Linked DNA regions of Styela clava. Each later gene encodes a partner of the first gene's protein in a complex. Links are inferred from orthologs where the notes say so. Each region holds a gene or a part of one and is shown on either strand. Other genes may lie near its edges. The genes, in order: inhibitor of growth protein 5-like and uncharacterized protein LOC144411641.

The links.
Region 2: inhibitor of growth protein 5-like (region 1) and uncharacterized protein LOC144411641 share a complex: the UniProt entries of both Drosophila melanogaster proteins name them as parts of the enok complex. The link is inferred for Styela clava from reciprocal best matches to the Drosophila melanogaster genes Ing5 and Eaf6.

What each region holds. Positions count from the first base shown.
Region 1 is NC_135251.1:10,583,412-10,595,266, forward strand, and holds inhibitor of growth protein 5-like, read left to right. Parts: upstream 1-9,436; 5' UTR 9,437-9,479; coding exon 9,480-10,226; 3' UTR 10,227-11,028; downstream 11,029-11,855. Other genes in the region: uncharacterized protein LOC120336283, read left to right, coding at 818-1,063, 1,521-1,679, 2,461-2,614, 3,111-3,279; RNA-binding protein 8A-like, read left to right, coding at 11,077-11,565. UniProt on the Drosophila melanogaster protein: Component of the Enok complex which has a histone H3 acetyltransferase activity.
Region 2 is NC_135251.1:16,250,076-16,262,514, reverse strand, and holds uncharacterized protein LOC144411641, read left to right. Parts: upstream 1-7,454; 5' UTR 7,455-7,572; intron 7,573-8,984; 5' UTR 8,985-8,992; coding exon 8,993-9,544; 3' UTR 9,545-9,582; downstream 9,583-12,439. Other genes in the region: NHL repeat-containing protein 2-like, read left to right, coding at 1-10, 336-458, 928-1,110, 1,542-2,036; uncharacterized protein LOC120336316, read left to right, coding at 10,817-11,016, 11,282-11,600. UniProt on the Drosophila melanogaster protein: Component of the Enok complex which has a histone H3 acetyltransferase activity. Might be involved in transcriptional activation of selected genes.

The DNA.
Region 1 (11,855 bases):
CCTTACTATCTGTTATTTGTAGCTTATTCTTAGCTTTTTATTTGTAAGGTGGGGCGCGATATTTGACAATTTCTAAAATGGGGCGCGGGTGGAAAGGTTGGAGAACCACTGTTCTATATAAAGACCTTAACTCTAAATTGGCCAAAAACTGATCTTGAACTTGCAGGTTCTCTTCAGTGTGTCAGTACTGCTCACGTTTTTTTTACATCAAAATCTGGCTCATACCCAATTACTCTAAGCCAGCGGGTCCCAAACTTTGTGTTCGTGCGGCGCCAAATCATCAGGGAAAAAATTCACGGCGCACTTACACAAATAAAAATTGCTGCATTCGAATAAAACTCAATTTTGTGATGATCGTTAATGTGTTTTTTATGCCCTTTGAAGGTTGTTAATATGTAGGTCGAAGGACGAAAGACAAAAGGTCAACTCTGCCTGATTTTTCTTCGAAATAATAAAAAAAATCACTCATGGCAGTTAAGCTCGGTTTAGCAGATAAATAAACTGCAGCTGGCGAAATAGCGGCAAGCAGTACAGTGAACCGCCTCTCTAACAATTTATTTAACATTTATACTTTTGATTGTGTTTACCATACCGATCGACCTAATACAATTGCGCAAATACAAGGAAACAAGTATAATATAAATATTGGCAGCAGTAACGAACCTTTATCGCGCTTGTTTGCATTCCACATTTCTATGATATTAACATTATTCTATGGTTTACATAAATACATTTCAAATGCCACCACAAAAAAATTTATAAATGTGCAAAGCAAAATATATCAAGAACTCATTTCTAACAATCAATATCAACGAAGTTTATTCAGGATTTAATCCACCGTTATGCGAGAATGATGAACCCAAACGATGCCACGTATACAGGAAGACTGGTAACGCAAGATGCCAAAATACAACACCAGATTCGATGAACTGTAGTCATTTCCGATCGCATAAGGTACAACAACTGCCTGAAAAAATCACATTATTGGTCGGGAATTTAGACTTGGCGGGAATGGAGAAAAGGTTCGACCTGCATTACAGATTTGTTCGCTGTAAAAGGACAAGTCAGTATCATCATCAACTTTCTCACATACATAGTTCATTTATTCGTGATTTATGTTTGTTAAGTAATAAAAGTTCATTGAACGATCAATTTGATTTGTAATCGCCACATAAGGACCGCAGCCACAACTTTTTCGTACTTTTTTAAATTCTAGTTTGTATAAATTATTGCCATGATCTTCTTTTGATCAGTTTCTCACATTTTAAAATTGATTCAAAAGGTATTGCCCGATTTTACATCATGTCTTTATTTTAGTGTGTTCTTTTGTCTGTTTTTGTGTAGATGGGAACGTACTTGTACGTTTTTAACTTTTTCAATAAGTTATGCCCGTTTTCCAGGTCCTCTGCATTTTGTTTGTTCGTTCGTTGTTGTTTTGTTTCTTTCAGAGTGACCAAAAGAAAATTGATTGATTTATTGATTTGTTCATTGTCTATATCTTATATTCCTAATTTTATCAGCGCCTGTTCCAACAACTCCTACGTTAGAAATTGAAACGAGCGCAACATCAATAACAGAAAAGAACGAAGCGAACACGTATTTACCGAAGTCTGGCGTTAGCTTGAAACCCACTGCAAATACATCAGTACCTGTCTTGACATCTACCTTAAGCAATAAAGGTAAGTCTCATTTTTACTGTGCCAGCGATAGTAACGTAAAGATTGTCCATTTCAATTTTGCTGTGAAGTCGGTGCTCAATATATCGCAAACAGGTTTGTCGTTTTTCAATCAGTAATTGTTCAAGTTCAATCTGTGGGCGTGGGTTTGCTGGTTTTTATCCCGAGTATGGTTGTGTGATAATGAGAGAGAGAGAATTCCTTTATTCGTCAACCAGAAAACGTAATGGCGATATATACAAATAATAATAATAAAAAACGACAACATATATTACAGTTCTCGGTATATGAGTGGATTGTAACGATGCGACCCATATACGGTCATCGAAATCGCTTCATACAATTGCAGCGAAATTTGGAGCGATAAACTGGCTTTGTTTGCTATTTTCAAAGCATACCTGAACCAGTGAACGCACAATAGGTTCGAGCCACGTCTAATTGAATTTTCTCTTCTACTCGAAAAACATGACGAATTTTATAATTAGCCAATTATCAACAAATCCGAGCAAAATCCATCTGCATATTTGACGCGCATTACTTGGGATAGGATTTACATATTCATCCCAGGGAGAAAGAAAAGGCGATAAGACGACTTAATGATATAGCGAACCACGGCCTCTCGTCCGGTTACCAGTCCATGTCGGCTATATATGGAATTAGTTGAACCAGTTATTTGTTTATGAAAGCGTGGCACATTTAAATGAGCTCTGCCTTCACGTATAAATTTGACTTCGCTATGCTTGATGTTTAAAAATCTAAAGTAAAGTTTCGATTTATTTTCCAGCGGTCGGAGGAGAAATCACCAATTCACAAAACAAGCCAATATCCGATAATACAAAAAATATCTCAGGATCGTATCTACCATTCATAATTGCCATTGCCATACTCAGCATTATTCTTATCCTCTCGTGCATAGCGATTTGTGTTGGATACTTCAGGTATGTATCCAGTGGTGAGATTCAGGGGATTCGCACTGGCCGCGGACTCGTTATTGAATAATTTCTGTTTTCGACGTTAGAGTTCGGCGATCTCAGCAAATGGCTTAAATGAACGCACCACAGCTGTTATATTTGTGTGACCCTTGTCAATACTCGGATTTATTTAAATCCGACAGTTAATCTTGAAAAAGGCTCTCACATGGTTAAAAATACATAATGTTATTTTGCTCTTTCCGTTGCATTGAATCTTTCGTCATTTTGCCATGTGCTTCCAGTATTGCAAGGCTAAGTGATAGTCGCACTCTCTTTTTGTGTGGCCCAGCTGGTTGACTGAAGTTGGTCATATGGCTCACTGACAAAAAATGTTGCAAACCCCTGGTCTAACGATTTAACGTTCAACTGCTCAGCCATCGCGCCCAATATTTGTGGTATGGGAGTTTTTAAATAGCTTTGCAATTATGTCTACTCGTTTGAAGCTCTTTCTATATTTTTTTAGGTATGTTCGGACAAAGTCTGTTACATCGACATCTGACGCACAAAATGGCGAGATAGATAATCCCGAAGATGGAATTAACGTTTATTCTGAGGTTAAGTTGAACGAAAATTTAGCGAAAGAAGTAAATCCACCAGAACTTGTTCAAAATGTTCTGTACGAATCCTATTAAGTCTCTCCACACCTAAAGTTTTGAAAGACTCGGTATCGGGGTCGCCAAGGACGTACAGTTGAAGTATTTTCAGGAGACGTGTTTACACTTTCACCCCAAATTTCTGATACGCAGGAAGTGGTGGCGTTGACTGTATCAGATTTATATTTTCAAACTTTTCTAATGTAAGTTGACTGGAAGACTCGTCCAACCGATGGATAATTATCTCCTGTGGTTCTTATAAGCAGCCTCAATATTTCATTGTATATATATATATCGAAAAACCGCACATGCAATTAAAAAACTTACATGCCTCGCGTGATTTATTATATATCTTGTCTTATTTCTTGGTCGCTCTTTCTATTTCTTTCTGAGTTGTGTGGCGTGACGCACTGGCCCCGATGTGCGAGATTTTACAACCGTCGCCCACTCTGACCACTCCATTATGTAGATTTTCCGTTGGCATGCCTGCCTGAGTCTTTAAGTTTGTATTTAGACCGTATTATAATGGCAGTGTAATTAGAATGATGATTAAGGTTTCGTTGCTAATCTGGCGGGATTATTCGATATGAAGCGGCACAATCCCTGACACAGTCGATGCCAGCGAGTGCATCGAATTTGAAGCAGCACCGCTTGATGCTTGTAGCAGGCCAGTTATTGGGCAATGTAGAATTATGTTTGAATTTGTACAACTCCATATATATATATACTTTCTTTATTATAGTCTCATACAGTGAGTGATAGCTGGATTTTGATTTTTCATCGATGATTAACGGCAAATATAATTTCTTACCAGCAGGTCTGGATTTGTTACCGGCGCTATACATGTCATAATTGTAGCATCATCACAATCGACTTGTTTCTGTGAAATTTGAAGCTAGCGAATCTATTAATTTATCAGAGCAGAGTGACAGGTAGTCTTCAACAAAAAGATGAGCAAGTTTAAACTCTCGAAGTCTGACTGAAAAAAGTGCTAATTTTGTTTTGTGAAAATACTATCATCTTCATCTTGTTGCTAATTAGGCGTCATCCGTAGAAATACTTCGGATATCAGATGTTCGGCAATTCAAGTTGTGTGCGAGCGATAACTGTTCTATTTTGAATACTTCATTCAGAAATTGCATGGTTTTAGGGATTAATCTAATCTTTGTTTGCTTTCTTTTCTTCTTTTTTTCTTACTTTATCTTTATTTTTTTTTATCGTTCATAGGCACGCATAGGGTGCCAACCGTCCTTCATTTCAAAGGACAATCCTTTATTTGAGATTTTTGTCCTTGTCCTTTTTAAGATGATAATTGTCCTTTATTTTTTCCAACGTCGTTTTGCCCGATAGTTATAGTACTGTGTTTGATATTGTTTCGTTCTTTAATCGCCTCCGTTTCTGTATTTGCAAGCTTTTAATTATTCTTTTTAATTTCGCTTTGGTACGGCACAAATAGCCAATAGCCAAGAAATACCAATTTTATTAACAATTTCAAATATTTTACATTAATTTTCCGAAGATGGCAAGTGGCAACACTCCAAGATTTGAGTAAATTCTAGTTCAATAACTGAAAATTCTACGTATAATTGGTATCTAAGATTTTAGATTATTTCTCAACTCTGCGATAACGTATTTGGAAAAAAGATTTGACTCCGATGAAAATTTAACATTTGGAAAATTATCACTTTTGGATAATCTTTCTCCAAAATATCAGACCCTTGTAAAAATTGTAGAGCATTTGAAGCTAAAAAACAAACTTAATTTGAATATGTTTGACCTATTTGATGAAGTTGCACTCATTCAAAAAAAAATTTGACACGATTCAAAGCACTAAACTGTTCACAGAATGCAGCTTGAATGCAGGGTCAATGTTAAATAAACATTAAATGAAAAACAAATGGAGATTTTTTAGTATATATATCTTTTTAGCTTGTATATAATTTGTATTTCATTGTTTTATATTGTTCTTTCCTGTAAGTTACAAAATAAATGATGATGGTAATCTATGTTCTTTATTGAGAATTTTCATAGTTGGCAACCCTAGGCACGCATATAATTTTATTCGTGTCATATAGGCAAAATAGACTAGCTTACTTGGAAAACGTGTCACCAAATCGAAAAAGTTAGGTCATCTGACCGAAGTCAGGGTATTAGGACTGAGTTACCGGAAGAAAGGAATGAAGATAAGAAGCAAGTAGGCCAAATATGCGTGTATGATTTTTTGAACCTCATTAACCCCAGAAAATTCCTAACCAGAAAAAAATTAGCAAAAATGACTGAAGAATTCTGAAAAGTTGTATGAAGTACTCAAAGCTATCGACGGTAGGCGCATCGTCCCAAGCAATATGCTTGTCATGCGAATAATGAAAAAGTAGTCTCGCCACTTTCTTCTTCTTCGGGATAAATATGAACTTCTATCCTAATAAAAGTGCTCTTTGGGCTTTTGAAACTTTGCAAATAAGAAGCACGCTATGATAACAGTCTTGATGATCTCCCGTTCTGTCTGTGCGTCAAGTGAAATTTATTTTTTTCCAACCAGCAATAAACAATCGCATATAACATTCAGAAAAAAGCGAGATTATCATAAAATTTCACTGAGGAATCGAAGTCGCTGATATCCCACCTATGCACAACATTAGGCTGATATTACATAATTACTGTTTCAATTACCCTTATGTGGTTCTTATGGTTTATTTAATCAACTGTGAGTGTGATTAACATTTATCGATATTGCAATAAATTAATAAATTTGGAAATTTTTGATACTCCTACCACCAAAGTTTACGTTTGGGGGTTACCAAATTAATCCACTGATTTATATATATCTCATGTATTATCATTTATCATTCTGCAAACATTTCCATTCATTTTCTGCTATCCTATCTATGCACAACATTAGGTCTGGTGTTATACCACCCTAGTAACCCAAAACTGCTCCGCTAAGTGACTTTTGAAATTCATATGATGCTCCTTAATATAATTACATTTTCAATTACTGTTAAACGGTTGTTATGGATTATTTAATTAACTGTGAGTGTGATTAAAATTCATCGATATGCGATATCTTGATAGATTTGACCATTTTTTTATACTACTACCACCAAAGTTTACGTTTGGGATAGACTATGAATTATTGCAAGAATTGAAATGGTTTCTGGACTATTGTAACTGTCTCATATTTGTCTTTAATAAATCATATCTGCTTAAATTTGCATATGTCTATTTATGTATTATTGGAGTAGTATTTTTTTATTTTATTTTTTCATAGTGTTAAAATGATGTACTGATTGATTCTCATATATAGGCTCATTTAGAATTAAGTATCTATTTCGGAAACGCACTCCTCTTTTTCTACCATTAAATTAACTTAAAACAAAAACCACATTATGTTACTGTTATAAATGTGTCATTTTTCACAATAAATTCCCAACCCTGATTAGATGAATCCAAAATTTATCCTCGTTCTAATCAGATTTATCCTCGTTTTGTAAATAGTGTAAATAGTTCTCTATAAACTGAGAGTTAAATAAAAAAGAACCTGTGTCAATTTATGTATTTATTCATGTGTTGTATTGGATGGTAACTAACTCAGATGACCGTAACTGGTCGTATCGTTACCTCCCAGTCATACCGAAAACTTTTGTTTCACTTATTTTGTTATTATTATATTTTATATTATGTGTTTTCTGGTTGACGAAATAATAAATTCTCTCTCTCAAAGCGAGGGAATCGAGCAGCCACACCCGAGGTTCTAATATCGTATTAAAAAGATCTGGATTTTTATTCTCGGAACTACCGATGAGCACCGTATAATTTTGTCGAATTAAATACCTACGGTAATATATATTTCTAGAGATTGTCTTCAAGAGCCATCAGACCGCAGACGGACAGGGACATGAATATGTGTATATTTGAAATATTCAGTTATGTACGTACAATTTTAAATTTTTCTAATTCCAAAAAATATTGGAACTGTTGAGTGAAAATCCCATAAAAATTTTAAATTTCAACCAATCATACGTAAATATATACTACTAATTTCAACCAATCATACAATATACGATTTGTCGCAAGGTGGCGTAAGTAGGCCGCGTGTGTGATGATTTAAAATTTGCTCATCGTCTATTTGTGCCTGCAGGCGGGAAGGAAAATTTTTTATTTCTTTATTTTATTCTCAATACTCCGTATGATTATGATGGACAGGTGGTTTTTGTCTGTTTACTGAATTTACATTTCCACGCTGTGGTGTGTATCTTGATTTTTTAAAATTGTAGTTTATGTAGCTCAGTCACAAAATTCAGAAAATTTTAAAGTTAGGTACGGTACCGGCACCGGTACCCGCATTCCAGCATTTTATAATTCCGGTTCCGTTATTTCAGTATTCAGTTATTCTGAAATAATTTGAAATGTTTAGTTAGAAAACTTTTGTTATTCTGCCTGTCATGCTGACTCCCATACTGCCATAGCAAATACCGTACCCGTATGGCCCGGTACCGTACCGTACATAGACTATTTCTGTTTTTCAAGCTTTCGGCGAAATTTTGAATCAATTCTATAAAACTGTCCGAATGCATGGAATGTAAAAAAGTAAAATTGAAATCAGCATATAAACTGTATGAAGTCTGGGGGTCGAGAAGAACTAATGCAGCAATGGTTGACATTGTGGGTTATTTTGGGAAAATACTCATTTCAGTATTTTGATTTCCAATTCGTTTAAACTAATCGATACTGCGATACACAAAAACCAAATGGTTGGGTTCAACATAATTAAAATATTTATGTTAATTTACCGGGTCTGGTGTAGTTTCGTACCTAACGTACTTCTAGCAGGCGTAGCATAACAATTTTTTCACATGTCAATCCTAACCCCCACCCAGTACGGCACGCTATACAAATCGGGTGACAGTGTCCCGTTTCAGAGAAACCCATTTTACAGATGATCAGACGCCCCTTCTTTGGGAGACGTTTGGACATTGTTGTCCCTCAATATCGGTAATATTACAGTATAATGAAGTTGCGCGAAATACTACAAAAAAGCGCACTTTAGTAACGTCATCATTGAATTCCTGGGAAAAAAATAATCCGATTTTCCGAAGGAAAAAATTTTTTACCGTAGCATTCGAGAGTTTTTAGCAAAAAACGGTAATTTTGGTCATCTGACGGTCACGATTAATTTAGATTTTTATTGAGACAAGCATGGCACGATATGAAGCATCTGACATGGTCCCAGACGCTCCTCGTTTGTGAGACACATAGAGTGTTTGTTTTATTGAGCCAAATGGAGGGAAATTCTTGAAATTTGGATAGTGTGCTGTACTGCCACCTGACCACACCATCCAAAAATTACGTCACCACGACGTCACAGTGACGTAATAGAGCCCTTCAAATTATGCGGACTGTCATCCAAGACGCGCAAACGACTGTTAGGAGAGAGATCGCTGACGTTAGTCAGTTCTTTATCGTCGGCGCCGATGCCATTTCGGGCGATCGTACGAGTATTTGACAAGCTCTATGACGTGAAACTACACGAGACCCAATTTACCCATACTGGCATACAAGAGTCGATGGTCTGACATTACAATATTGTAAAAAATAGGAAATCAATTCAATCTGTACTGATGTATCACAATCACTGAATTATTTTGCAACTGATTCACCGTCCCAGATTCAATTTTCACAAATTTATGGAGATGAATACTGGAGTATAAATTCATTTGTTCAACGTCATTCAATTTAGTGATTGAGAATATATTTCATTTCGGAATAAATATCATATATTATTCGATTATGGTATCTCTTTTTTCATGCAGAGTTTCGTATTTGAAGAATTATAGATGAATTACCAGTACGACACAGTTCCTTAATTCCAAGAATAGCCTCCACATTAAAAATCAATTTAAACAATGAGTACAAACTCCTTCTTTTCAAGACAGTCTAGGCCTCCAAACACGCACTGTGCAACAAAACTAAATAAATATAAGCGCAATCTAAAAACATTAACGTTGGATTCTTAAAAAAAAGTCGAGTTTTTAGCAAAAACTGCAATTTTGGTCATGTGACTGACGAGGCACGTTGCGTTTGATTTAATTTAATATCGAGACAACAGACGAGCATGGCACGATCTGATGCATCTGCATTCTATGCGTAGTTTTGTATTTTTATAACTATCAATAAATTTTTTTTTTCAACTTTATCATTTTATTTTATTATCAGCTAGAATAATATATAAAGTATCAAAGATGGCTACCGCAATGTATCTGGAGCAGTATCTTGACAGTCTGGAAACATTACCTGCTGAATTGCAAAGAAATTTCCAACTTATGCGTCAGCTTGATGAAAGATCAGAAGAATTAAAAGTAGATATTGATAATCTAACGATGGATTATGTAGAAGAAGCAAAAAATCTACCACCAGATGTCAGAGTTGAGAGTATCAAAAAAATTCAAAATTCTTACGCTAAATGTCGTGAGTTTGCTGATGACAAGGTTCAACTTGCAATGCAAACGTACGAAATGGTTGACAAACATATCAGAAAATTAGACTCGGATCTTGCAAGATTCGAAGCTGATTTGAAAGAGAAATCTATTCATGATTCAAACGTCGCTGGGACTTCGAAAGCTGATACAGACAGCGGTCCTTCAGATAAAAAGCGTCGCAAGAAAGGACGAGCCGCGAACTCCGAGGACGAATCAAAATCGAGCAAAAAGAAACATAAATCCGGACTAGATCAATCATTGTCTTCTGTACCTCTCGTCTCTGGAATATCTGCGTACTCGAGTTCAGATGTTCTAGATATGCCTGTTGATCCAAATGAACCAACGTATTGTCTTTGTCACCAAGTTTCTTATGGTGAAATGATTGGATGTGATAATCCAGATTGCCCCATCGAGTGGTTTCATTTTGGTTGCGTTAATTTAACATCAAAACCAAAAGGAAAATGGTTTTGTCCGAAATGTCGTGAAGAGAGAGATAAAAAGAAACGATAGCTTTTATTTTCACCGAGAAATTTTAAAAATTACTCACTGGTAATATTCAAACGTAAATGTTTTTATGTTCAAAACTAAACTCACTGCCAGTTTTCATAGGCAGTTTGTTAGTAATTATTTTTCTATATTATCTGATAACTGCCAGTGGGTATTAATATTTAGATTTTGATTACTAGTCAAAAATATTTTGTATCAAGGCAACAATATTTTCAGAAATGATAAATATAAATTAACTAAAATGATTCATCCTGATATTCTGAGAATCAAATGCTCCGGATTCGAAGCTGTGTTTTCTTGAGCAAGTTTCCACTTCGTAATTTCACATTTTGCTATTTTGTCAACTTCCACTGCTCCACCACATTCATAAAAAAGGTGTATTCAAGTTGACTGTGTCTTAAACCGTGAGATGTAAAGAGCTACAGTTAATTGCACTTTTGGCGCTTGGTGGGTGCTGGTGAACACTGATTCTAATGAGCTGCTTTGTTCTTCGCTGAATATCTAAGTTCTCTGCATCATTATTTTATTGTATTTGTTGATTTTCACCCAAGGCAAGGCCGAAGATGCTGGAAAGAAAAAGCTAACTTAAAATGTCTAGAAGTGAGATGCAAATAGCTATTTCTTTTGTTTAGTGCTTGCTAGACGATGGTGAAAAATCATTTCCGTTAAACTGCCAAGTTGTTTTCGAAATATATGTTTATACTTGAATTGAATTCATTTATCCCTTGCAACATTTTTTATTGTATTTGTTGATTTTCATCATATATAATATCTTTATGTCTCATTGTTTTTGATATTTTCTCAGCCATAACATAATTTAAGTGATAATAATTTAGTGTAAGGAACAATCGAAATGGCTGATGTGCTAGATCTACATGAAAGCGGAGAGGAATTCGCCGCAGATGAGGAAGGAGATGTCGGAATTGAAAGATTGAAAGATCGTGCGAAGCGCAGAAAAGGTCGTGGAATTGGGGATTCTGAAAAAAGAACTGAAATCAAGTATGAAGCAATGGAAAGTGATCAAGATGGGCCTGGACCTCAACGATCGGTTGAAGGCTGGATTTTATTCGTTACTGGCGTGCACGAGGAAGCAACGGAAGACGACATGTTCGATAAATTTGGAGAATATGGAGAATTAAAAAATTTACATCTAAATCTTGACAGAAGAACCGGATATTTAAAAGGATATGCCCTCGTGGAATTCGAGACTTTTAAAGAAGCACAGGCTGCTCTTGATGCATTGAATGGGAGTGATTTACTAGGCCAAACGATGTCAGTAGATTGGGCTTTTGTTAAACCGTCCCAAAAAGATAGGCGGGACCGTAGGCATCGTCGTCGTTGAAAATATTAAAACGATAAATCTATGCTCGATGGTGCTGTGTGTAGTAATAAGACAAATCTGCTCAATAAACTCAAACTAAAGGCTACACTATGATCATGCTTGTCCTTTCAAGTTTAATATTGAACTGAGCGTTTTTCCCAACTCTGCTCATTATTTAGGATATTTTAATCTGTTATAATTGATTTTGGAAAAAACGTTTTGTTATAGTATCTAAATTCCAGGATTGAAAATAGTTGAGCTAAATATGTGCTGCTTCATTTTTTCTATCTCTGCCCAGATTTTAGGATGCT
Region 2 (12,439 bases), about 5.7 Mb from region 1:
CGACCCCATGGTATGTTTGTTGGAAATATCTATAAGCAGTAAAACTAGTTTACTTATTATTTGATTGGCATGGCCTTGTTTAAGGCACTAAACTTACATTTTCCAATTTTTATCAATCTCTTGCTGAGACCTGTTCATATGTATATAATGAACGGCCATTTTTTTTTCTAAGTTCGACTGTTAGTGTTAGCCAATTGAAATTTTTACTTTTTGTTACATCAATGTTATTTAAATAATTATAATGAGGTACAAATATATCAAAAATGCTACTGGTGCTTGGAATCATTTTTATTCATTCATTTTGTTCATTTTTAATGATTTTTGATGTTGTTTAGAATCTCTTTTCATATGGTGATACTGATGGTAAAGGTAGAGAAGCAAAACTTCAACATCCTATAGGTGTAGCATGGGATCATAAGCGGGATTTATTATACATCGCAGATACATATAATCATAAGGTACAAATTTTAAAAAAAGGCATTTTTGAGTAAAATGTTCTAAAATTGTAAAATTGATGTGGGATAAACGATATTTTTAATTCATGGATAAATTTTAATTCAGGGAGGTTGTTTCTCATCTCTACTTCCTCGGATTATAAATGTATCATGTCATGCCATGAATATATCAACTATATTCAACATTTTTCTCTGAAATTTATATTAGATGGTAATTTGCTTCTGAATATCTAATATCAATCACAAACGTAACACAGTTTTGAAAAAGAAATATAGGTGTAATACAGACCAAAATGAAAAACAGAATCCATGTCATTTGGAGCATTATAGAGGAATACAATCATACACAAACAGAAGTTCAAGTTTGTATTTTCTTCATTTTCATAGCAGTAATCAGGAAATTTATGGGTCCTGTTTTTTCAGTCACCCTGCATAAGAAATTTAAGATCCGAATTCCTATTTTTTTTTTCAGATAAAGATTCTCAATCCGAAAGAAAAAACATGTAAAACCATGGCAGGTAATGGAAGGGAAAATTTGATACTCAATGAGCCAAGTGGGCTTGCATGCGATCCAGCTTGTGAGAATTTGTATATAGCTGACACGAACAATCACAAAATTAAAGTTATTTCACTGAGCAGTGAAGAAACAAATTCTGTAAGTTGTCATGGTAGCAGTAAATCTAGTTGACACTTAAATTAACAATAGGTCCCGGTTCTGTCAGGACTTCAAGGATTTGTATGGTATTGGCTAGCTAAGATTGGTACACTCTGCTTAGCCCTAATAACACCTAAACCAATGCAAATTCCAGCTGCGATGCAAAGACTCCTATCCTACTAATATGAGCGCATTTTGAAAGCGGCAACTTATGCCTATCAGGATATGCCTTTTGTAATAGTGAAATATGAGTAAAGCTGCATACATGCATCTTGTTAAAATAGCTGTCATAGTACTCAACTTTAATAGCTACTTTTTCACAGTCTTTTTTTATGTGAAATCATAGCAAAGTTATTGCTACTATAAAATTTATTGTTGCATTTCCTCAAGGCTTTGTTTCAATTCAATATACGAATTTTCCTACAATTCAGGTTGATTTCAATATTGAAAAGTATTTTGAAAACCTTTCAATTGATGAGTTTGATGGACCAATAAAAATGTCAGTGAAACCGTTGACCAGTAAAAAAGTCAATGCAATTATATTGGATCAGAGAATTGTCAATTACAACGGAACGATCAATATCAGTGTTACATGCCCTGGTTTTCATCTGAATCCAGATGCTCCGTCTGTGTGTCAAATAAGTTACAGTTTTGACAAAAGTCCTAACTTAATTTATCTTCTTCAGTCTGAAAACTTTAACATATCCGGAAAAGGTGTTTATTCATTTAATGTTAGCAAACTCGAGCCATTGCCGAAAGGCATTAATTCTATTCAGCTTAACATTTTCATTGAAAGTGTTTTATACTACTGCCAGGATGACTCTGGCATCTGTAAGATGCACAGTTATAAGGCTATACTGCCTTTGCTGGTTGACTCCAGTTCTGAGGCAATGTCGACTGAAGTTACTTTGGCCATTTCTCAGTAAATACCATGTAAATGGCATTACCCTTTGTACCAATTTACCCCTTTAAATGCACTTATTAACAAATTTTTGCCATTTAACATTGTGGTGTTTAAATAAATTGCCCTGCCAGCTGCCAATACTAACTATAGGTTGATAGATAATTCATTCTATTATTACTTGCACATTAACTTACCTAATGATAGTCATGTTTTTCAAGTGTTACCTTTTCTTTTGAATAAAACTTAAAAACACCGTCTTTGTTATGTTAGTATCCAATAAAAAGATCGCTCAGAAAATAATTTTCTTGAGAGAAATCTTCAACAGTTGTCAACTGACACTTCGCACATTTATGATTTTTTTTCAATTATAAATTTTTATATTTCAAATGCTGAATACAATTGTCAAATACTACAAATAGGCCGCGAGCCGAGGCCCTGAAAAACGCCTAGAAAGTGAGTTTCGTAGCGCACATCAGGTAATTACCTGAAAATGATTTTAAAATGTTCCTTAAAAATTTAGTAACAAATATTGCTTTGCCACTTCCAAAAGTTGCACGTTTTATGGAAAAGACGCTTTTACTGCAAGAAATATGTGCTACGATCTGTCCTATATTCTCTACATTTTCGGCAATGACTTCTGCATGACGTCACAATTGAATCGAATCAGCTGTTAGCGAGCGGATGAATATTAGTTATTACTGCTCGACCTTGCGTTGAGTTGGGCAGCCTTTCCATAGCCCTGTTTAGTTATTGGACACGTAGTGGACATAACGATCGTTTCAATATTATGTTGTTGTTCTTGTTCTTTGACACGTTTTTAAAAAGTCGCTTTTTTCTTCGAATACTGGACCAATTGCTTTGAAATTTTCAGTGGTTAAAGATTAATTTTTTCGCTAGAAGGCTATTACTTTTATTTATTTCAAAATTTTGCGTGAATTCTATGAAATTTGATATTTCGTCTAAAATTTTGCTGTATCATTTTTTATCCATGGGAACACGGATTTTAGTCAGTGTCATGACTGGCTGTACGTTTTGATTCTGCAAAATTCTTGCTACTGGAAATTCAGAACTTTTTTGAGGGTACCGGTAGCGTCAAAGGTACCGGTAAGGACTGATTCGCTCTGGTCTGACGTGTCCATATATTTGTGCGTAGCTCTCTTGTTATTAGTTGAGTTATCCTGAGACGTTGTTTAAAAAATGTATAAGTAAGTTATTAAACACTTGCAGATCTTTACCACCGATATGGGCCGTGAGACGAAGCCTTGAAAACGCCCAGAAAATGAGTTTCGTAGCGCACATCTGGTAACTAAATAAATTCGTCAATTTTGTGTGAAAATGAACATACTGAACTCATTACAGCTTGTTCCACAATCCTGATGCAAAATTGAATATAAGAGGTTCCCGGAAATTCAATAACCATAAGTTTACAACACATACATAAAAACTATGCAATTCGAGAGCCCTACAGCACACTAACACAAATGTATTCCAGTAATGTTTTTCCTATCAAAATCGGACTTCCTCAGTCAATCATAATTTAATAGGTAGATTACGAAAAATACTTTAATTGTGTGACAGGAGTCGCGAGTGACCTCGAAAGCAGCGACACCAACAACGCTGATTCACATTAGCGAATAAATTTTATGTAATAACCACAAGCAGTTTACAACAAGAACAGCATAAAAAGCTACATCCTTTTTATAGAAGCTATCAAACGTAATCATTTTTGAGCAATGAAGTCACAAATTAACATCGTGAGCACGAAAACACAAATAAATCAGTTATTTCTCACTTAGAAATTTAACGGAAAAGTCAAGAAAATTAAATGAATGTACAATATGTACATAACATAGTGAACAGAAATATAACAATTAGTCTTTTTTCAGTTTATGTGGTTATGTATTTGAACAAAGGCAATATTATTTCTAGAAACAGAACTACGACACTAACAAATGTCCGAAAAAAAAATGATAGGCCCTACTTAATAAATCAACTGCAATATCTAATTCACTTTCCTCTGAATTGTTTTCGAAATCCACTCTCGAAAATCGACTTTTCCTATATAAGTGTACTGTGATTTTTGCAGTACAAAAACAAAAATCTGTGCAATTTAAGTTGATTTTGGCACACTTGCATAAATTATTTTGACTATTTTTCTTACACTTGCAGTTTGCCAACTCAAGAACTGATTTGAGGGCCACATGCTTCTTCAGTGAATCCTTATGTTTGTCAGTGTTAAATAGACATGCCCTGGCCCCTGGTATCATTTACATTCTTCATATCCCCATAGTCTACAGCAGGGGTTCCCAAATCCGGCCCGCGTAACAATTTAAAATGGCCCGCCGAACTTGAGTAAAACGATGTTGTTATGTCATTACCACAGTTTAAGCATGTGTTTATCGCGTAACAATTCAAATATGCCGATATCTCAATAATACGTACCGGTATTACCATGTTTCCCCAAAAATAGAACAGATTATTTCAATTTTCTTTCGAAAAATATACCTAGGGCTTATTTTCGGGGCGTGTCTTTTATTTTCATGAGTCAAAAAAAAATTACAAAGATTTTCAAATATAAAAAATATGAAAACCAATATCCATTTACTTAAATGGCACGTATTCCTCTTTCACACTTGTTAAATTAATCATTTACAACGTGTATGGGAGATTTCCTGCTATCGACTAGGTGCTACTGACTATACGTCTTATTTTACGGTGAGGCTTATATTATAATCATTCTTAAAATTCAGGCTAGGTCTTATTTACGGGATTGGTCTCATTTTCAGGGAAACACGGTAGGATTACAAAGAGCAGTAATTAAGTTATCAGCCATATAAGAAAGCTTACAGATGTCAAAGAAACAAACAAAACTAGACTTTACAAATAGACGTTTCCGGGATAAATGGTAGCTTTCATATTTTCGTATTGCAAAGAATCAAACTTCAGCGATTTGTCTTTCTTGCCAATGAAATATTCCAGTTCTGAAGGAATACGACATAAAGCGCCATTGTGAGTCAAACAAACAGATTGCAAAAAATGTCAAATGGAAGTGAATCCACTGAACCCCAGCTAAACCGCCGCGAACTTTCGGGCGCTAAACTCTTCCGGCCCGCGAACATTCTCCCGATTCTAAATTTGGCCCGCGTCCAATAAAGTTTGGGAACCCCTGGTCTACAGTGAACAAACAAATTCCTCAGCTTTATTTATTAATGCCTCATTAACCTCAAAAGATCTTCATAGTTGAGAAAAAATTAATTGAAAACCTCAATGAAGTCTCCAACATGAGTTTGATGGGCAGTTTCAATTGCAGAAAAGTGCTAAAGTATTTCAATATGAATAGCCCATCTAAGCTGTTTGCAACTATTATGATTCTCATATATCTATACTCTTCAAGACTTCTTGTTTAATCCATTTTATAGCACTGATAGCAGCAGGGATTAGAGCCTGCGTTAGGTCGGATTGGTGAAACATTGCCGTTTTCTTTTATAGTACAGTATCTAAAATGAGGAAGAAAATCATATTTGGAACAGCATGAGTGTAAAAATACCACTAAATACTAACTAATACCTTGAATACATAATGCATTTTATCTGATGTACTCAATGAGCGTATATATGCTCATTGCATGTACTACAGTCCAGCAGTGTTTGCATACCATTACTAGACTATATCTCCACTAAATTATGATATATCACAGTCTGAAATGCCCTATGACAGTATGAGTATGGACTATAGACTATATTTTAAAACATCAACTGTCTGTCTACAACTTGGTTTCTCACCTCTAAATCGTTTCCAATGCTACTTTCTTTCTTTCCTTCCCGGCATAACTTATCATTGCTTCCCAGGTTCTTGTCGACTCTATGAATTTAGATTTAAACCAACCGACATTAGTAAAATTGATTATTTTCTTCTCTTTCACACAACTGTGCATTACAGAAACAGCCATTAATTTCTATTTCCAAATATGCTGTGGCCTATATAGTAGTAGTATAAGTCTGCTGAATAGTCAAGAAGAGTCATTAAATTAATCATAAACATTTCACGTAAGCCAGAAAATATCGTTGTTTGTGACCTATTATTCTAGGTCTAGCCTTTCTTGGAGTTACCGCACCGTACCAATTTATCAACGTGTTATGAGCTAGTGCTCAACTAAAATTGCTATTTATGGTAAGGATATACAAGTGTTTAATATCTTGCCGTACTTATAGTTTTCAACACCTCTTTAGAATAACTAAACTAATAATAACTGAAAAAAACTATGGAAAGGTTACTGAACGCAAAAGCGAGCAGTAGTAGTACATCTGATATTCATCCGACCACTGGGGATCCACCTACAGCTGACTAATTTGATTGTTACGTCATGTAGAAGTCTGCGTTTATTGGCCCATGATACCGGAAAAGCAGAGAAAATAGGACAGATGGTAACACATATTTATTGTAGTAAAAGCGTCTTTTTTGTAAAACGTGCAACCACCTACAGCTGACTAATTTGATTGTTACGTCATGTAGAAGTCTGCGTTTATTGGCCCATGATACCGGGAAAGCAGAGAAAATATGACAGATGGTAACACATATTTATTGTAGTAAAAGCGTCTTTTTTGTAAAACGTGCAACTTTTGGAAGTGGGAACAAGGCAATATTTGTTACTAAATTTCTAAGGAACATTTTAAAATAATTTTCAGGTAGTTACCTTATGTGCGCTACGAAACTGAAAGATAAATTGCCTCGGCTCGCGGCCTAAAAAGACCCTATTTATTTGCATCTCTTCAGGGTAGTTATGAACGTTTTGTAGAGAGTTGCACTGTGAGATCCAAAACTATGGAATCAATATGTTTAACTCCTCTCAATTTGTTGTATAATCTTTCGCATGTAGTTCTGCCGACTCCATTTTTTTTATCTCGCAGGATAGGATTTTCAAATTTCTTCTGGAAAAGAGAGACATAGGTGTGGCCAGGGAGGGCGGTGGCCCCCATTTTTTTTTTGAGAAGCTATTTTACAGCATCTAAAGTGGCGCATAAATTTGTATGTCTCTTTGTCAACACCATTTTTCTTAGGCTCACTATCTATAATCCTTCATTCAAATGAACCAACCGGGATGAATGAAAAAACTTAGACAGCGAAGCAAGTTTGTGGAGATATTCTTCAATATGTTATGTTGTTAGATATCTGCTTTCATCTTCGGCAAAACGAGCCATCCTGTGGCGGCGGGGCACCTTGCACTTACCCAAAGTGTCTATAAGTGTTATAGTCACCTTGCACTCACCGTAATTATGCAAGACTCCTTACAACAGAATGGTATCAATTGAATTTTTGCGGCCGCCCAGACAGATATTCCAGCGTGGGTGAAAACGATGCCTCTTTTTTCAAGTGCAGTTTCAAGTATTCTGTGGCATCTGCAGCTGCCGCAAAACCATGGCGGTATTTTCATACCATGGCCGCTACGGCCAAACTCATGGCAACTGACTTTTTAGCTGCCACAAACCAATGTCGAGCTGCCGTCACCGCGGCAGGTGGGCCGTAAAGACTGGGCTGTCTATTATGGTGACAAATATTGGGTAAGTTGGAACGTTTTTCTTATGGATACAGTTTTGATTGATTTGGGGTTAGGGTTAGGGTTTAAGTAGATATAATTCCACATGATCAATTAAAATCTGGTACATTAATTTGTGAATATACCGTTAATACTGATTACTGAATAGCGCTATAAAACCATGGCAAGAGCTGCCGCGGTTCGTTCGTGGCAGGAGCTGCCATGAAGTGGTAAGAACTGCGCCTCTTTTTTTGTGATTTTGCGTATTAGTTTTCAGTTGTGTTTCCAAAAATTAGTTGTAAATCAAATAGTACCGTATAAAAGTCGTTATGCTTTCCACAGAGCTTTAGTTTAGTTGCAATAATCAAAAATTAGTCTCGAAAAAGCTGCGATGGTCTACCGTACCGGCACCGGTACGTACAGGCTGACAGGGCTAGGCTAAAATTAGATACCGGTATCTGTGAGCGGCACGTGGTTAATTGTTTTTAACAAAAATAATGCTTTTGAACATATAGGCCAGTCTAACAGTATAACAAGTTTATTTATAAGTGCAAACTCTTCAAAAAAAATCCAATTCAGCGTCAAAAAATTAGGGAGAATATTTTTGGGGCCACTGGGTCAAGGGTAGGGGAAAACCTCAATCGTAGAAGCTTATGATAGTCTATGTATTTTCAGTTTGACTCGACTCAACCCAACCTACCAATTTTATTCATTACTTGAAATATAATACGGTATCAGAATATAGGGCAATAATTCTGTTTTTTTTTAGGTCTATCATTGAATAATAGTGTATCGCATATATTTAGTCCATGAGTATTTAGGTATTATAAAAGTGTAATTTATTTTTGGCGAAGTAATAGTTTAAATACGAATGATATCAAAATGGGCAAACATAGGCACATATATGACAAAGTTATAAAAAATCATAATGCATAATGGGTTGCCACTTTGGTATGCGACCTCACTTGTTCAGTGTGATCTCAATTGTATACCAAAGTGGTGCTTCATTCAGACATTCTCATATATTTCAGCTCTTAACCCTAACTAGAATCACTGCTGCACTGAGATCACATAAATGTTGATAGATAGATAATGATTTATTTCCGATACAAGTACATAATACAATAAGCATGAGCAAATAACAATATTTGCTGTATAATATATGTTGAAATCCCATACCAATATAACACCCAATTTTCTTTGGCCATTATAGCTTTTGCTTCAATATAACCTAAATCTAGGTGCTTAGTCTTTCTAATTCAATAATTGATTCAAAAATCTGAAAATTTGGAGCAGGCTAATCATTTGCACTTTTAATTATTTGATATTTCATTTCTGAATGATTTTCATTTTAGCTTGGGTTAAACCTGCAAACCAAAGAACAAGATTTTCATATGGTAGTTAATATGTCATACAGTCATATGTCTTCTGTTTCAGTTTTCAATATGTCTAATAAAAACCAAGGATCCAACACCAGAGCAGAACTATCAGAGTTAGTAAAGCGAAAAGAAGAAATAACTGAAACTTTAGCAAATCTTGAGCGCCAAATTTACGCTTTTGAAGGAAGCTATTTGGAAGATACTCAACTCTATGGAAACATCATTAGAGGATGGGACAGATATTTGACAAATAATAAAAACACTAATAGCAAATCAGATCGTAGAAACAGAAAATTTAAAGAAGCTGAAAGACTTTTTAGTAAATCTTCAATCACATCTGCGGCGGCTGTAAGTGGAGTGGATTCTCGAAAAGATGGAGACTCTAGTTCAAGCAAAGAAAAACAATCTAGAGAAAATGGAGGAAACAAACTGTTAAAACGTTCAGATTCAAATGGCAAAATTTCCACATCGAGTGTTAAAAATAAAAATAACTCGGAAGATGGATATAGTTCTGTCAGTACCCAAGACTCTGCATCTGCAAGCAAAGATAAAAAGCGTAAGATTCGGCAGAACAAGGTCGACAAATATGGTAAAAAATCACGCTCTGGGGAGAGCTGATATTATTTTGCTGCCTGCTGTGGTTCATAAATTTGACTTAATTTCCTGAATTTATTGTTGACTGTGAAAAGTTTGAAAATACGACCAGCCAAAACTATTTAAAATTTAGGATTTTTCGTGATTAATCATATGGGAGGAACTCTCTCTATCTTGTCCAGTCACCATGTCAGTCAGGGGTCAACCAATCAATCTTTCCTTGGATGTTGGAGGAAAACCTACTCAGCCAATGTATGGATGCATGAACTCTATCGATGAGTCCAGAAAGACTTTGCATCCATCTATTTAACTATACCAGATTTTACATTGAATTTATCCTGATAGAAGTAGAAAACACATTCATTGCTTTTTGCTCTTATTAAAATTTCAGTCTGCAAATGTATATTTGCCATATTTTTTTTAATTGTTAATTTTAGAATATGGCCATCCCTGGTATTTCTGAAACTCTGTAAAAGCCACTCAGATGTACCGGTAGTACTACAATAACCTTATCAACATACCTTTGGTGTGTGTGACTGTGAGACGTGGATTTACTATTAACAATATAACAAACTGTACAATTGTTGGTAAGAAATCAATCTGAATTGAAGAATCCGGTTGATGCTGCATATTTTTATAAATTTTGTCCTTTTCATATTATCAATTGTGCCTGTGTTTCATTATCGATATTCGATGTTTTTGATTTATATAGTGACTAACATTATTAGATTGAGTCTAGCTTAATGCTCAGTTCTTGAAAATGACTCCTACAGATAAATCAAAGAAATCATACATGAACATTGTGAAAGAGTGGTTTACAAATTCATCGAAGAGGTAAGCTATGTGTTTGTGTGAATTTTCTATCTCTGCCAGGTTGTAATAAATTCGGTAGGCAATGCCGAACCAAGTAGGTAGATTACAGTCCTTCCAAACTATCATAGTTTCTTACATTTTAGTGTCCTTGTTCATGGAAAAGGCTGATGGGTCACCCAAAAAAATCTTCAACATAGCTGCGAAATTTGATTATAGCGCTACTTTGGACCATCTTGCAAGAAAATTCTATAAACATAAAATTCTTTTAATGAAAAATGAGTCAACATAGATGCATTCGTTAATTTGAAAGTTAATAAGATCTTATATTGAAAAACTACTTTGTTTTGATATTGCAGGAAATTCCTTATCAACATCGCACTTTTTGGCGCAGGCGTTTTATTGACAGGATCATTTGAAGACCTGACTTTTGAATCTCTTCCAGCACCTGCTGTCAAATAAGTTCGGGATATAAACTGTCATACCATGGACAAATTATGTTTGCTGTTTGGTTGGAGTGTTGCAAGATCTGTATTAATTTTGCTGGAAGACTTGGATGATGATTTAGCTTTCAATTATTTTGTTTCAATTAACGGACTTACTTTTTTTGTTCACACTATTGATGCTACTATATCTAGCTTGACTTATGAAAATCCAGCAAATATACCGGAGCCAATTTTACATGGGTAATTAAAAACACATTCTTATATTTTGATAGGATATCCTCATAAACCTTTTGCTTTATTTTCGTAGCGCACTACATCAGCAGTGTGACTATGGATTTTATACTTCATACAAATTTGGCTTGAAGTTTATCATTTTTATGAAATATAAATGGGAATTAATAATTAGAGGAATAGGAGCTGGAAGCACTAGAATTCCTGCTAGCTTTGGCTCCATCTGGGTGTTTTTATCAAAAAATTTTCGCTATGCTCATTCTGATTTTTTTAGTTTCAGTTTAGCTGGAGGATCTCCAGGTGCAAGCTTAGCCATGGTGTTATTACAAAATAAGCGACATTATCACAAATACAATTTGACACACATGACTATCTGTGTGGCACAAAGCTTGATGTTGATGTCCATGATAAAGTTCAAACATGGTTGTTCAATAGAAGTTCAACTCTCTGAGACAATGGATGAGTTGCGATACACCTTTAACATGATATGGAATAACTTGTTGTCCAGGTTTTCATGGAATTCTCAGAAGCATAAACATCCTCATCATTCAGCAGCAAGATTTTTAAATGTTTTATTAGATCATTTCAAATAGATCTCTTGTTTGAAATTTACTTCATTGAATGAATGTTGGGGGGATACTCCAGTCAACCACTTATCGACCCAGAATTGTATTTTTAAATTCCTTGTCGATGGTTGTTGTTGTCAGGCAACGGTGCAACCAGCGTTTTCAAAACGGGGGGGGGGGGGCTCAAATCTGAATTGTCGTGGAATGGCATCCGCAAGAAGTTGCACTACCCATTTTTAAAGTCTTCTAATCTGGGTAAACTGCCTGGTTATATCTGGTTTTGATTCACATCTTGCGACACTGACTTCCTCTTAAAGATATCACGGTTGGAAAAATGTCGATTAATCATATTACATTATTTAGCTAGTGGCTAGACAGGCGGCATTGCCTGGTACAACTCATCATAATGTTGGCAATGCAAATTCCGGGAGCGTCATATCGATAAAAATGAATCCCTGATTTTGACGAAACTGGTTATGTGAAAGTGCATTCTATAGACCAGGGGTGGGCAACATACAGCCCGCGACGAGATTCTGACCGGCCTGCTGACTATATCCAACCACACTCTCTAATGTGGTCCGACGCATCATTCCTGAAAGTTGCCGATCGCTCTACTGTCACCGCACTGTTAGTGCGAGCTGGGGAAATAAACAATTGCGTTAGCACACTTTTCAAACTAACAATATAAGTTCAAAGCAGAGCGCGTGCGCGTCGCATACATTCCTACTTCTGTTATCAGGTATATTTATAATTAGATTTTATATTAAGTTTTATTAACCATGAAATATTCCAAGAAACGTGAAGTTGACAGAGTGTCGAGCATTTAACAAAGATAGGTATTTTTTGTAATAATCTGGCCCGCCGGG